Linked DNA regions of Caenorhabditis elegans. The protein of the gene in region 1 interacts with the protein of each later gene in a pairwise test. Each region holds a gene or a part of one and is shown in the gene's direction. Other genes may lie near its edges.

Region 1 (7,885 bases):
GAATTTTCCGAAGTTTTTCAGTTAAAAATGTAAATTTGGGCAGAGGTTCCCCGGGAAAGTGGTCAAATGTGCTCGGTGAGCAATTAAAAGCCAAAAAATTCCAAAATTTCGCAGTTTTTAATGCGAAAATTTGAAATTTCGAGCCCAGAATCGCCAATAGAGCACATTTGCCACGAAAAAAAAATGAATTTTTTTGAGAAATAGTATGGAAATTACTAAAATTTTCATAAAAATCTGATAATTTTAGGAATTTCCGGAACTTTTTTACGGCTTTTTAACCAATTTTAAATTTTTATGTTTAAAAACTTTTTTTTTTTGGAAAAAAAAACATAATTCCCTCAATTTTAGTAATTTCGAACTAGAAAATTGGAGTTTTTTGTAATTTTTTAAGCCTAAACCCCTTTTTTTCCACCAATGTCGTAAGATTTGGTGTTTTGGGTTACGGTAGTCGGTGTTTGCGTACTTTTGGGGCTACAGTACCCCGCGAAATTCCAAATTGAGCTAAAAAGTCATACTAAAAGCTGTTCAAAGCTAAACTTTGCGCTGATTTCGAATTTTTAACTTTTCCCGTTGGTTTTTCAATTTTTTGCACTAAAATTTTTGAAAAATTCGATTTTCTCAGAATTTTCAGAATTTTTCAGACGTTTTCAATGTGTTTTTCGGGTTCCTCGTGATTTTTTAGCCCCTCAGCCCATTTTTCAGGGCAAAATCTTAAAATGTCGTAAGATCCGGTGTTTTGGGCTACGGTAGTCGGTGTTTGCGTACTTTTGGGGCTACCGTACCCCAAAACTCCAAAAATTGCGATAGAAAACCCAATTTTAAAGGTCTTAAGGCAGAATTTCGCGTAGAATTCGATTTTTCCAACAAAAACCTCTGAATTTCGCTGAAAATCCCAGTTTTACCTGAGTTTCATAGGAATTTCCGGGTAAAAGTGGTCTAATCGACCTGTCAATGGCTCTGGAGATGAGGATTTCATTGTCAGATTGACTGAGCTCACGACGCAGGAAATTTGTTGGAATTCGGCCAATTGCTGACGCTGACGGTCTGGAATTTTCAGTTTTTAGGCCATTTTTATCGGTTTTTAGCGGTTTTTTCGCAATTTTTTTTCCGAATTTCTCACCGATATTCAACTTGTAGCGGTACTCCACTACCATCTCCTTGCTTGGATTTCCGTTGTACTACTGTAGCCATCACGGCGTTGTCTCCGAATGAAGCAACTACGGTGGATGACGCAAAACGGGCGAGGTGGCCTGAAAAATCAAAATTTTCATGAAAATTCCTTTTCTAGACAGTGGAGAATTTTTTCGCGCATCTTTTGCGGCAAAAATCGGCTCGAAATCTTTATTTTTAAGATTTTTAGCAATTTTTCCCGTTTTTTTTCTAGTTTTTTTTCAAATTCCCACCAGCTTTCAGCTCGATTCCACTTTTTCCATCAAAATCCACTGCTACTGATTGTTCTCGACCCGCTAATCGATATTCTTTCCTGGAAAACTCGCCAGATTTTTATTTTTTTGAATAATTTTCTGACTTACGTGTGAAATCTCTTGGAAATGTGGATTGGCAACCGGGAAAGTTTCATTTTTAATCTAAAAAACTAATTTTTATTCAATTTTTATCGAAAAATTGAGAAAAAAACAGCGAAAATGAGTGAAAATTCAATATTTTCAAGTTTTGAATTAAAAAAATAATTTGGTCGAGAAATGCGCCAAGGAAATTTTGCTGGCGCGTGTCTCGATCGCTGGCACTTTTCGCGATTTTCTTCAGAATTTTATTTATTTTCTAAGAAATTAGCTCAACTTTGCTCATTTTTCTCCAAATTTCTTCGATTTTTTTGCATTTTCAGTTAAAAAATCAATAAAAATCGAATTTTTGCAGGTATGGAAGACGACGGGCCTCCTGGGAGCTCGGGTAAGTCATTTTTTTCAAGCTCAACAAGTTTTGGAAGCTTTAAAAATATCCGAAAAGCTAAAATCTCAAATTTTCCAATTTCCAGGAGCATCAAAAGGATACTGGAAGCAAAATTTGTACCTTTTACAAGAAAAAGCGCCGAAACCCAACGCAGTTTTGTGCCGAAAACCTCTTCAGCAGAGACCTCGACATTTTGGAGCCGAATTTCACGGATTAATCGATAGAAATGAGGTTTTTAGTGATTTTTGGGTGTTTTAAGCTCGAAAATTCGATTTTCAGGCCGAAAAAATGCTGCTGGAGGCCGGAGAAGGCTCGTATTTGGTGCGGGAGTCGAATCGGAGCAGAGACGCGTGCACTTTGTGTATGATTTTTGATGCAAAGGTTATGAATTATAAAGTAAGCATTTTTAGAGTTTAAAAAGCAGAAAAAATCGATAAACATCAAGAAAATACCCGAAAAATATCAAATTTTCCGCTAAATTTTCGAATTTAGTGAAAAATTCCCAATTTTTGTTAACTCGCCGTGGCAAATGCGCTCTATCGGCAATTTTAGGCTGGAAATCTCGAATTTTTGCATAAAAAACTGCGAGAATTCGGAATTTTTCACCTAAAATTGCTCCGCGAGCACATTTGACCACTTTCCCTGGGAACCGCTGCCCAAATTTTCATTTTTAATTCAAAAACTTGGGATTTTTTCAATTTTTAGCCAAATTTTTAAATTTCCAGCTCTACTACGACGGTCAATTCTACGTTGGGGAGAAGCGTTTCGACACTATGGACCTTTTGGTGGCTGATGGGCTCATTTCAATGTTTGTGGACCTTCACGCGGCGGATTATATAAAAAGAATGGCGGATGAGGCGATTTATGAGGATAGGTATGGGAATTGGCGGAACATTAGCGAAAAATAGGCCGAAAATCATGAAAAATGGCAAAAATCACAAGAAAATGAGCCAAAAATTATAAAAATTGAAGAAAATTGACTTAGAATATAAATTCCGTGGCAAATGTGCTCTATCGGCGATTTTAGGCGGGAAATTTCAAATTTTCGCATTAAATACTGCAAAAATTTGGATTTTTAAGCTTTTAATTGCTCACCGAGCACATTTGACCATTTTCCCGGGGAACCTCTGCCCGAATTTTCATTTTTACCTCAAAAACTTTGGAAACATGACATTTTCGCTAATTTTCTGCTTTTAAAGCGTAAAATAGCTCAAAAATGCAAAATTTTCGGGTTTTTGGTTGAATTTTGCTCCAAAAATCGGAAAATAGTGGGAAAAATCTGAAATTTACTGAAAAATATGGTAAAAACTAGATTTCTTGCCCTAACGTTAATTTTTAAATGCTAAAAACTACAAAACGCGTCGAAAATTCAAAAACTGCCAATTTTTTCTTAGAAAATTCTAAAAATTTCAATAAAAAGCTCACTTAAATAATTCAAACCTACTTTCTGTTTTCTCCGTGGCAAATGTGCTCTATCGGCGATTTTGGCTTAGAAATTTCAAATTTTCGCATTAAATACTGCAAAAATTTGGATTTTTAAGCTTTTAATTGCTCACCGAGCCCATTTGACCACTTTCCCGGGGAACCTCTGCCCAAATTTCGATTTTTACCTTAAAAACTTGAAAAAATTAAAATATTGCTAATTTTAAGCTTCGAGAGCTCAAAATTACCGTAAAATTGCCGAAAAATTGAGTTTTCCCTGATTTTGGTCAAATTTTGATGTAAAAATCGGAAAATAGTGAAAAAATATGACAAGTTTACGGTAAAAACTGAAAAATATCCAAAAACTAGTCTTTTTGCCCTAATTTAGATTTTTCAGTGCTAAAAAGCTACGAAACGCGTCAAAAATTCCAATTTTTTTCTAGAAAATTCGAAAACTTTCTCTGAATTTTTGAATTCTCCCTAGAAATTGTCTTTGTACGCTTTTCCGTGGCAAATGTGCTCTATCGGCGATTACGGGCTGAAAATTTCAAATTTTTGCATTAAAAACTGAAAAATTTTGAAATTTTCCACCCGACATTGCTCACCGAGCCCATTTGACCACTTTCCCGGGGAACCTCTGCCCAAATTTTCATTTTTACCTTAAACAGTTTAGATTTTTGCGGTTTTTCCAGTTTTCCCCATAGAAATATCGATTTTTCAGCCCATATTCTCGGTATACGAACGCCGCCGCCACCACTTCAGACATTGTACGCCGTCCCGTCACTCGAGCACACAACTTCACGTCGTACACCTTCAAAGCTCCGCACTACTGTGATTATTGCCGAAATTTCCTGTGGGGATTGGTGCATCAGGTAAAATATTATAAAATATACGCGAAAATTAAGAAAAAACTGGAAATTGTGAAATTTTAGGGCGAAATTCTGGAATTTTTTGAAAAAAATTCATGAAAAAAACACAATTTTCGCAAAAACTGGCAATTTCTTCGGATTTTTAATGCCTTTTTCGAATTCCCCGCACTATTTTACCCCCGGAACTCGTTTTTCAGGCAAAAATCTCGCAATTACGTAAGATCCGGTGTTTCGGGTTACTGTAGTCGGTGTTTGCGTACTTTTGGAGCTACAGTACCCCGCGAAATTTCAAAATTGAGCTAGAAAGTCTGAGTTAAAGCTATTTAAGGCTAAATTTTGCGCTGATTTCGAATTTTATGAAGGATTAGCGCAATTAATATTTTTTCGAGAAACAATTTCAAAAAAATCAAATTTTCCAGGGAATGCGATGCGAGGACTGTGGCTTCGCGGCTCACAAAAAATGCTCGGAAAAAACGCTTCACGACTGTGTGCCCGACTCGAAATACGTGAAACGCATGTTCGGCGTCGACATTACCACCCTGTGCATGGCTCACGGAGCAGATTTGCCGCCAATCGTGCCACTTTGCATTGGAGAAGTCGAATCGAGGGGTCTTGATGTGGAGGGGATTTATCGGGTTTCGGGATCCTATGATCATATGGAAAAGCTCAAGCAACAGTTTGATTCTAATCAATATGTGGACTTGGCTACGGTAATTTGCGCGGGATTTTCAGCGTTTTCCCGGAGTTTTTGCCTAAAAAATTGCAAAAATCCAAAGAAAATGAGCCAAAAATCGTAAAAATTGAAGAAAATTGACCTAAAATAAGATTTCCGTGGCAAATGTGCTCTATCGGCGATTTTGGCTTGAAAATTTTAAATTTTCGCATAAAAAAACTGCTAAAATTTGGAATTTTCCACCCGGAATTGCTCACCGAGCACATTTGACCACTTTCCCGGGGAAGCTCTGCCCAAATTTTCATTTTTACTCGAAAAACTCGAAATTTCACATATTCAGCTCAATTTTTCAAGTTTTCTACTGCAAAATTCACTTTGAAAACCCTAACAATATCCTAGAACCCGTTTTTTGTGAAATTTCAAATATGCACCTATGGCTCAGTAGGTAACACAGATGGCTGCCAAGCACAAGACCGGGGTTCGACCCTCGCCGCGGCGAATTTCTTTTATTTTGCTTGAAATTGATTCTCAGAACGATTTAAAGTTTTATGACTCAAATTTTTTCTTGAAACTCAATTTTTGTGTAAAAATCTGAAATTTACTGGAAAATATCGAAAAAAAATTAGTTTTCTCACACTAAAAAATTCGAAAATTCAAAAACTGTCTATTGTTTTCTAGAAAATTCACAAAAATTTCACTAAATTTTTGAATTCTTCTTTAAAATTGTCTTTGTATGCTTTTCCGTGGCAAATGTGCTCTATCGGTGATTTTGGGCTGAAAATTTCAAATTTTCGCATAAAAAACTACGAAAATTTGGAATTTTCAGACCTCTATTGCTCACCGAGCACATTTGGCCACTTTCCCGGGGAACCTCTGCCCAAATTTTCATTTTTACCCCAAAAAACTTTCAATTTTTCTCAAAATTTCACCAATTTTTTCAGGTTTGCGATATTCACACAGTTTGCGGGCTCTTGAAGCTCTACTTCCGCCTACTACCACAGCAACTGATCCCGTTCAGCGTCCATAAGCAGCTTCTCGTCGCCTACCAGGAGACGAATCAACGATCTACACATGAGAGGGAGCGGCAGATAAGGTGCTGGAAATTTGGGGATTTTGGGTCCAAAATTTTCCCAAAATTGTAGAAATCCCGGTGAAAATGAGCCAAAAAATAGCTTTAAAAAATTTTTTTGGAAATTCCGTGGCAAATGTGCTCTATCGGCGATTTTGACTTGGAAATCTCAAACTTTCGCGTAAAAAACTGTGAAAATTTGAATTTTTCCACCCAAAATTGCTCACCGAGCCCATTTGACCACTTTCCCGGGGAACCTCTGCCCAAATTTTCATTTTTTCTCTCGAAAACTGGAAAACATTCTGAAATTACTGGAAAATTTCAGAAAAGTGATGATGGAGCTGTCCGATGCGAACATAATCACACTTGGAGCAGTGTTGGCGCATTTGAAAAAGGTAAAAATTCAAAATTTCACTATTTAAGTGGATTTTCGAAGGTTTTTGACCTAAAAATTCACTCCAAACCCCCTGAAAATACCCTAGAACCCATTTTCGCGAAATTTCGAAAATGCATCGGTGGCTCAGTAGGTAACACGGATGGCTGCCAAGCACACGACCGGGGTTCGACCCCCACTGCGGCGAATTTTTTGTTTTGATTGATATTGGTTCTCAAAGCATTTAAAAGTGTCGAAAACCAGTTTTAGAATTATTTTCTGTCCAAATTTCGAATTTTTCTTATAAAAATGAATAAAGCCCCAAATAACTTAATTCTAGTCAATTTTTCATCGCTTTTAGGTGTAAAAATCAGTTTAAACCCCCTAAGAATTCCCGGAAACCCATTTTCCGCAAATTTTCAAAAATGCACCTGTGGCTCAGAGGGTAACACAGATGGCTACCAAGCACACGACCGGGGTTCGACCCCCGCCGGGGCGAATTTCTTTTATTTTGCTTGGAATTGGTTCTCATAGCGTTTTAAAGTTTTATGGCTCAAACTTTTGCAAAATTCGCTTAATTTTTTTTCGTAAGAACAAGGAAATATTCTAAAAACTCAACTCTAGTAATTTTTCATAGCTTTTAGGTGTAAAAATTAGTGCAAACCCCCTAGAAATACCCCGAAACCCAGTTTTTGCGAAATTTAAAACTTGCACCGATGGCGCAGTGGGTAACACGGATGGCTGCCAAGCACAAGACCGAGGTTTGACCCCCGCTGTGGCCAATATTTTTTATTTGGCTTGAAATTTAGTTTTCCCCTAAAAAATTAGTTCTTAAGTTAAAAAATTCGAATTTTCAAACAAATTTTCTGGAATTTTTCAAAAAATTTCCCCAATTCCAGGTGGCAGATCACAGTGCAAAAAACAAGATGACCGTCGAAAATCTGGCGACAATTTTCTCGCCGACACTCTTCTGCTCGGGCTCCATACCCGCCATGCCGAACCATCAGCTGCTCCATTTTCTGATCAATAATCCACGTGTCGTGCCGAAACATCATTAATTTATTGCTCCCCGTGGTGGCAAGTGTGCTCTATCGGCGATTTTGGGTCGAAAATCTCAAATTTTCGTATGAAAAATTGTGAAAATTTGGAATTTTCGACTTTTAATTGCTCACCGAGCCGGCTTGACCACTTTCCCGGGGAACCTCTGCCTAAATTTTCATTTTCCTAGATCTATATCTCCCAGTTTATGCATTTTCTTCAGCAATTTCTCTCATCTCTCCGCATACTTTTCTTCATTTACATATCGGGTACCCGTTTTCTCTCGCTTTTGCATGTTTTTTGACCAGTTTTATGCATTTATTTATGATTTTTCCTTATTTTTCACATGTTGTTACGTTCTTATTGCATAATGTTTTTTTCCGAGTTTTAGAATATAAATTTATTGAGCTGTAATTCAAAAATTCTCAAAATTTTGTGATTTTAAGACCCCTGGCGCGTTGAATTCCGAAATTTTCATATTTTTCTGCAGTTTTTGGCTCAAAGCCTTGAATTTTGGCTTGGAACCGATGATT
Region 2 (4,439 bases), on another chromosome or scaffold:
AACCTCCTCCTTCTGTTGCGTGCAGGCGCACGAGCGACAAAACAAACAGTGTTTGGGAGTGAGAGAAGCGGGATGAACAGGTGTGCGGTGGCGGTAAATTCGAGTGAAGGCGGGAATGTGTTCAGAATGAATACAGAAAAAGAGCTGATGACGTTGTAAACGAAATTCATGAACGAAAAGCAGGCACATCTCGCGCGGAAAAGGGAGGAGACGCGGCAGGGAACCGGATTGGGGGACTATTGATCGAACAATAAGGAAGAAGAGAAGTACGCGCCGTCGGTTATCGAAACTCCAAATTTTTCTTCTTTTAATTGGGAAAAGTATTACGAACATGTAATTTCATGGAATTCACACGGTTTACAATGAAGTTATCAAGAGAAAATATGCAATTCTAAAAATTTAGGGCAGATTGAATCGTCGATTGGATTGAAGTGAAAGAAGAGAAATAGAAATTTCGCGAGTGAGATTCAATCGGAGCATTGTTAGAATTCTATCTAGAAATGTAAGACAAAAAATACGAAATAGCATATTGAAATATAAAACCTTAAAATTAAAAAGAAGGCAATTTTAAAATTAATTTTACGAAATACAATTGAGAAAAAATGGAAAACACAACGGATTCAATCGAAGTTAATATTCTAGAGATGGTATTTATAAATTGAGGACAAATATTCTGCACTAGGAGAAACAAGAAAAAAGAAAGAAGTTTCTGGCTGGCAATCGTTCGCACAGGAAAAATAAAAAACTAAAATGGCCGCCCGTCTGTTAGCATGGAACGGGTTACGCTAGTTATAGACTAAGCTTACATACAAAATATGTATGTATAATATCCTCACAGCGTAACAAAGTGAGATATAGTTTAAATTCTAGATGATGACTTTAGAAATCCTATTTGGTGGTTTTACGAAGTTTACAGCGTCATTTCTAGACTGAAACTGACCAGTCTGGGATATCATTTGTCTAATCAAGTACTCTATCTAGATAACTGACCGATCTAATAAGTTTTCACGAGTTACGGGACCTAAATTTGAATCCAATAATTCGGTGACGACTGGCGACCCTATGTTAGATGTAGTGATGTCTCCATTCTCTCAATACTCTCTCGTCTTTTTCTCTGCGTATCTCACCACTAGCGTAGTCTATGAGTGCGAGCGGCCGCGTCGCGGTCGTCTTTAGGCTCGCCGACAAACTGTCCACCATCTTCTTTTTTTCCTTTTTTCGCCGTGTTCAACAAAGCTCATTCACGCTTTTCGTTGTTTTACAGGCTTTTATTGTTTTTTCTAATTATTGATTATTCATTTATAAGAGCAGAATTAATCAATAAACGTAGGTAGACGATCGAAGTATCCTATCAGTTTTTAATTTGATAAATTTTCTCGAAAGGAGCAATCATGTTTTAAATTATTTAAAAAATGGTCCGCTTAAGTTTGTCTGACTGTTTAACAATTATTGAAATCATTTTCGTGACATTTTATTGAACATTGCTTCCAAATTCCCCTAACATAATCCTGACTGAGATGTTCCAGTGTTTCATGTCGAATTATTCCTATTTTTGTACCTTTTCTTAAATATAACTAGTTTCAAATATATGCAAGTTGTTTGGTACGGAAAACCGATTCAAACTTCCGACCAGTTACCGATGAATCATTGCCAAAATTCCTCATCTAAAGAATTATACGCACAAGTTGTTTTGGCCATTTTGCCTTATTTCTTCATCGTTTATTAAGGCGTTTACCGTTTTTTTTTCTTGCTCTTTCTTCGATAATTATTGCTCCCAATGGTAAAGAAACGCTCGTGGCATTTCGAAAGAGACTATTGATTTTCTGCCTGATGTTTCGCAATTCGTTTTCATTCTCTAGTTATCTCTCCTTTTAAAACGTGTGCGTGCACATTTATGTGACTCATCCGTATTTTTCACTATAAAGACGTAATTTTAATACTTTTATTCATTTTTTTTTTCAGGCGAAATGCAGACGATCAAGTGCGTCGTCGTTGGAGATGGAGCTGTCGGTAAAACTTGTCTCCTGATCAGCTATACCACAAACAAGTTTCCTTCTGAGTATGTGCCGACAGTCTTCGACAATTACGCCGTAAGTTTAAGAAAAAAAAATTATTTTATATAAAAATAATTTCCGAATTTCAGGTCACAGTAATGATCGGTGGCGAGCCATACACATTAGGATTGTTTGATACTGCTGGACAGGAAGATTACGATCGATTAAGGCCTCTATCGTATCCACAGACCGACGTGTTTCTTGTTTGCTTCTCCGTGGTTGCTCCAGCTTCATTCGAGAATGTCCGAGAAAAAGTAAGAAATATTGTTCTCGAATTTATTCTATATATCTGAAATTGTTTTAGTGGGTGCCTGAAATTTCGCATCATTGCTCAAAGACCCCATTCTTGTTAGTTGGTACTCAAGTCGATCTCAGGGATGATCCAGGAATGCTCGAGAAACTGGCAAAAAACAAGCAGAAACCAGTGTCAACGGATGTTGGAGAGAAGTTGGCAAAGGAATTGAAAGCAGTGAAATACGTTGAATGCTCAGCGTTGACGCAGGTGAGTCATTCTTTCCAAAATAGTCATTGATAATATTGAAACATTAAAATAAAATATCATCCAATCCACGAAACCTAATCAAATAATAAATTTTTAAATATTAAAACGAGGCTCTTGTGGAAATACGTGACACTTTAAAATATAAATATCACTTTTCAGTTAAATTGTTGCTTTATATTTAGCAACGGTCATGTTTTCGGGAAAAACGAACAACCAGAATTCTGTTTTTATTGTGCAAAAAATTATCTCCTGAAATGCTCTATATTCCGGCTGAAAATACCATAGTTTTCATATTATGTTGATTAAAAACGCTTGTATATTGAAGTTTAAATAGTTTATTTTCAGAAGGGACTGAAAAATGTATTCGACGAAGCCATTCTGGCCGCTCTCGACCCACCACAACAGGAGAAGAAGAAGAAGTGCAATATTCTCTAGGAACGTCTTCCTTGTCTCCATGTTTTCCTCTGTTTTGTGACTGTGTTTTTCTTTCTATGTCCAAATTTTCTTAGCCCCCGACTTCCACTCTTCTCATACTTCTAAATTTCCCTGAAAAATGCCAAACGAGAAGCGGTTGCTGTTATTTTTGACAGCATCATAGAAGATGATTTTCTTCAATTCGTCTCCTGTAACTTATCCAGTAGAATCTCGATGAGCATGATTCCAGAATTTTTTAATTGTTTCGTATAGAATTTCGATAAGCAGGGCAGTTTATAGTTTCTCATCTGTTTTCGAATTTTTATCGAATAATCCCCTCGAAAATTTTTAAAAGTTCATCCAAATTAACTATCATTCTTTTCAATGACACCTCCTCTTTAACATTTTCGTCGTCGTTTTTATTTTCTTTTTTATCCCAAAACGTGTTTATAGTCCGGATACACCGTTACGTAATGCGCCTTCTCCTTTCCCATGGTTCTTTTTATAATTATATAATAGGTGTTGTATAGCACAACCAACTACATCCCGAGTCGCTTGTTTCTTCATTTGCTGCTCAAAAATACCGACCAGTTTGTTTTTCTTCTTTCCTTTTTTTTGTGCTTTTCTGCCTTCACACATCCATTTCCCATTTTAAACTGTTTTCTCATCCACTACGTTTTGTGTCTCCCTCCTCCTTTCTCCAGAACAACTCTGTATTTTAATTTTTCTACATATTGTTGTTATATATTTGCGATCCAAAACAATAAAGGTGTGATATAAAAAATTAAGATGTTTATAAAAGATCTTGAAAAGTATACAAGTGGGTGTTGTAGAAAAAGAAGAACCGGAACCATAAGGCATTGAGAAAAATAATTAATGAGTGGGTGAATTGGAACGAAAAATAATTATTATCACTGACAAAAAGTACTGTTTGACGAGGAGAGGAACATAATCACCGTGTATGAGGAAATGGGCTTCAACTAGAAACGATAAGAGAACATAAAATAGAGGCAAGGATGACTAGAATTAATGAACAAATTGACAAAAAATGAAATTATTTCACTTCAATCAAATGACGAAGAGATTTTGGAGTACTTGAATCATTATAATGTTTTGTTGTGAAACGAAGACCAGCAAGTAGACAATCAGACTGAAAATAAAACAATTAATATGGGTTGCTCAATTTTATTCTAATTTTTATTATGGAAGCGCAGAAAAATGCTCATTTTGAAAGCGCGTTTGCAATCGCGCTTTACGGACAAACTGTTGGGTCTCGTTAGGTATTCGCAGAAAACTAGAAATTCGAACATGTTCAAACATTTTTCGTCTGCTTTAAATGCTTTCCGCTATTCTTTTAAATTAATTTCAGTCCGAAATTGATGAATTAAAATTTATAAACGAAAAAAAAATTCGATTTTCATTGTCACATGCATTTTTAAAATAATAATTTTGAAACAAAAATCATTAAA

Evidence for each region.
Region 2: the proteins of chin-1 (region 1) and cdc-42 interact in a two-hybrid assay, tested with the Caenorhabditis elegans proteins (one study listed by BioGRID).

Annotation. Positions count from the first base shown.
Region 1 is NC_003281.10:1,031,203-1,039,087, reverse strand, and holds chin-1 (Chimerin 2), read left to right. Parts: upstream 1-1,875; 5' UTR 1,876-1,877; coding exon 1,878-1,908; intron 1,909-1,993; coding exon 1,994-2,139; intron 2,140-2,187; coding exon 2,188-2,304; intron 2,305-2,633; coding exon 2,634-2,782; intron 2,783-4,051; coding exon 4,052-4,202; intron 4,203-4,618; coding exon 4,619-4,909; intron 4,910-5,813; coding exon 5,814-5,965; intron 5,966-6,266; coding exon 6,267-6,336; intron 6,337-7,213; coding exon 7,214-7,372; 3' UTR 7,373-7,766; downstream 7,767-7,885. Other genes in the region: pnpt-1 (polyribonucleotide nucleotidyltransferase), read right to left, coding at 903-1,044, 1,121-1,250, 1,404-1,483, 1,533-1,579.
Region 2 is NC_003280.10:7,614,490-7,618,928, forward strand, and holds cdc-42 (Cell division control protein 42 homolog), read left to right. Parts: upstream 1-1,962; 5' UTR 1,963-1,967; coding exon 1,968-2,090; intron 2,091-2,143; coding exon 2,144-2,308; intron 2,309-2,358; coding exon 2,359-2,556; intron 2,557-2,901; coding exon 2,902-2,991; 3' UTR 2,992-3,756; downstream 3,757-4,439. Other genes in the region: R07G3.8 (CYRIA/CYRIB Rac1 binding domain-containing protein), read right to left, coding at 4,025-4,120.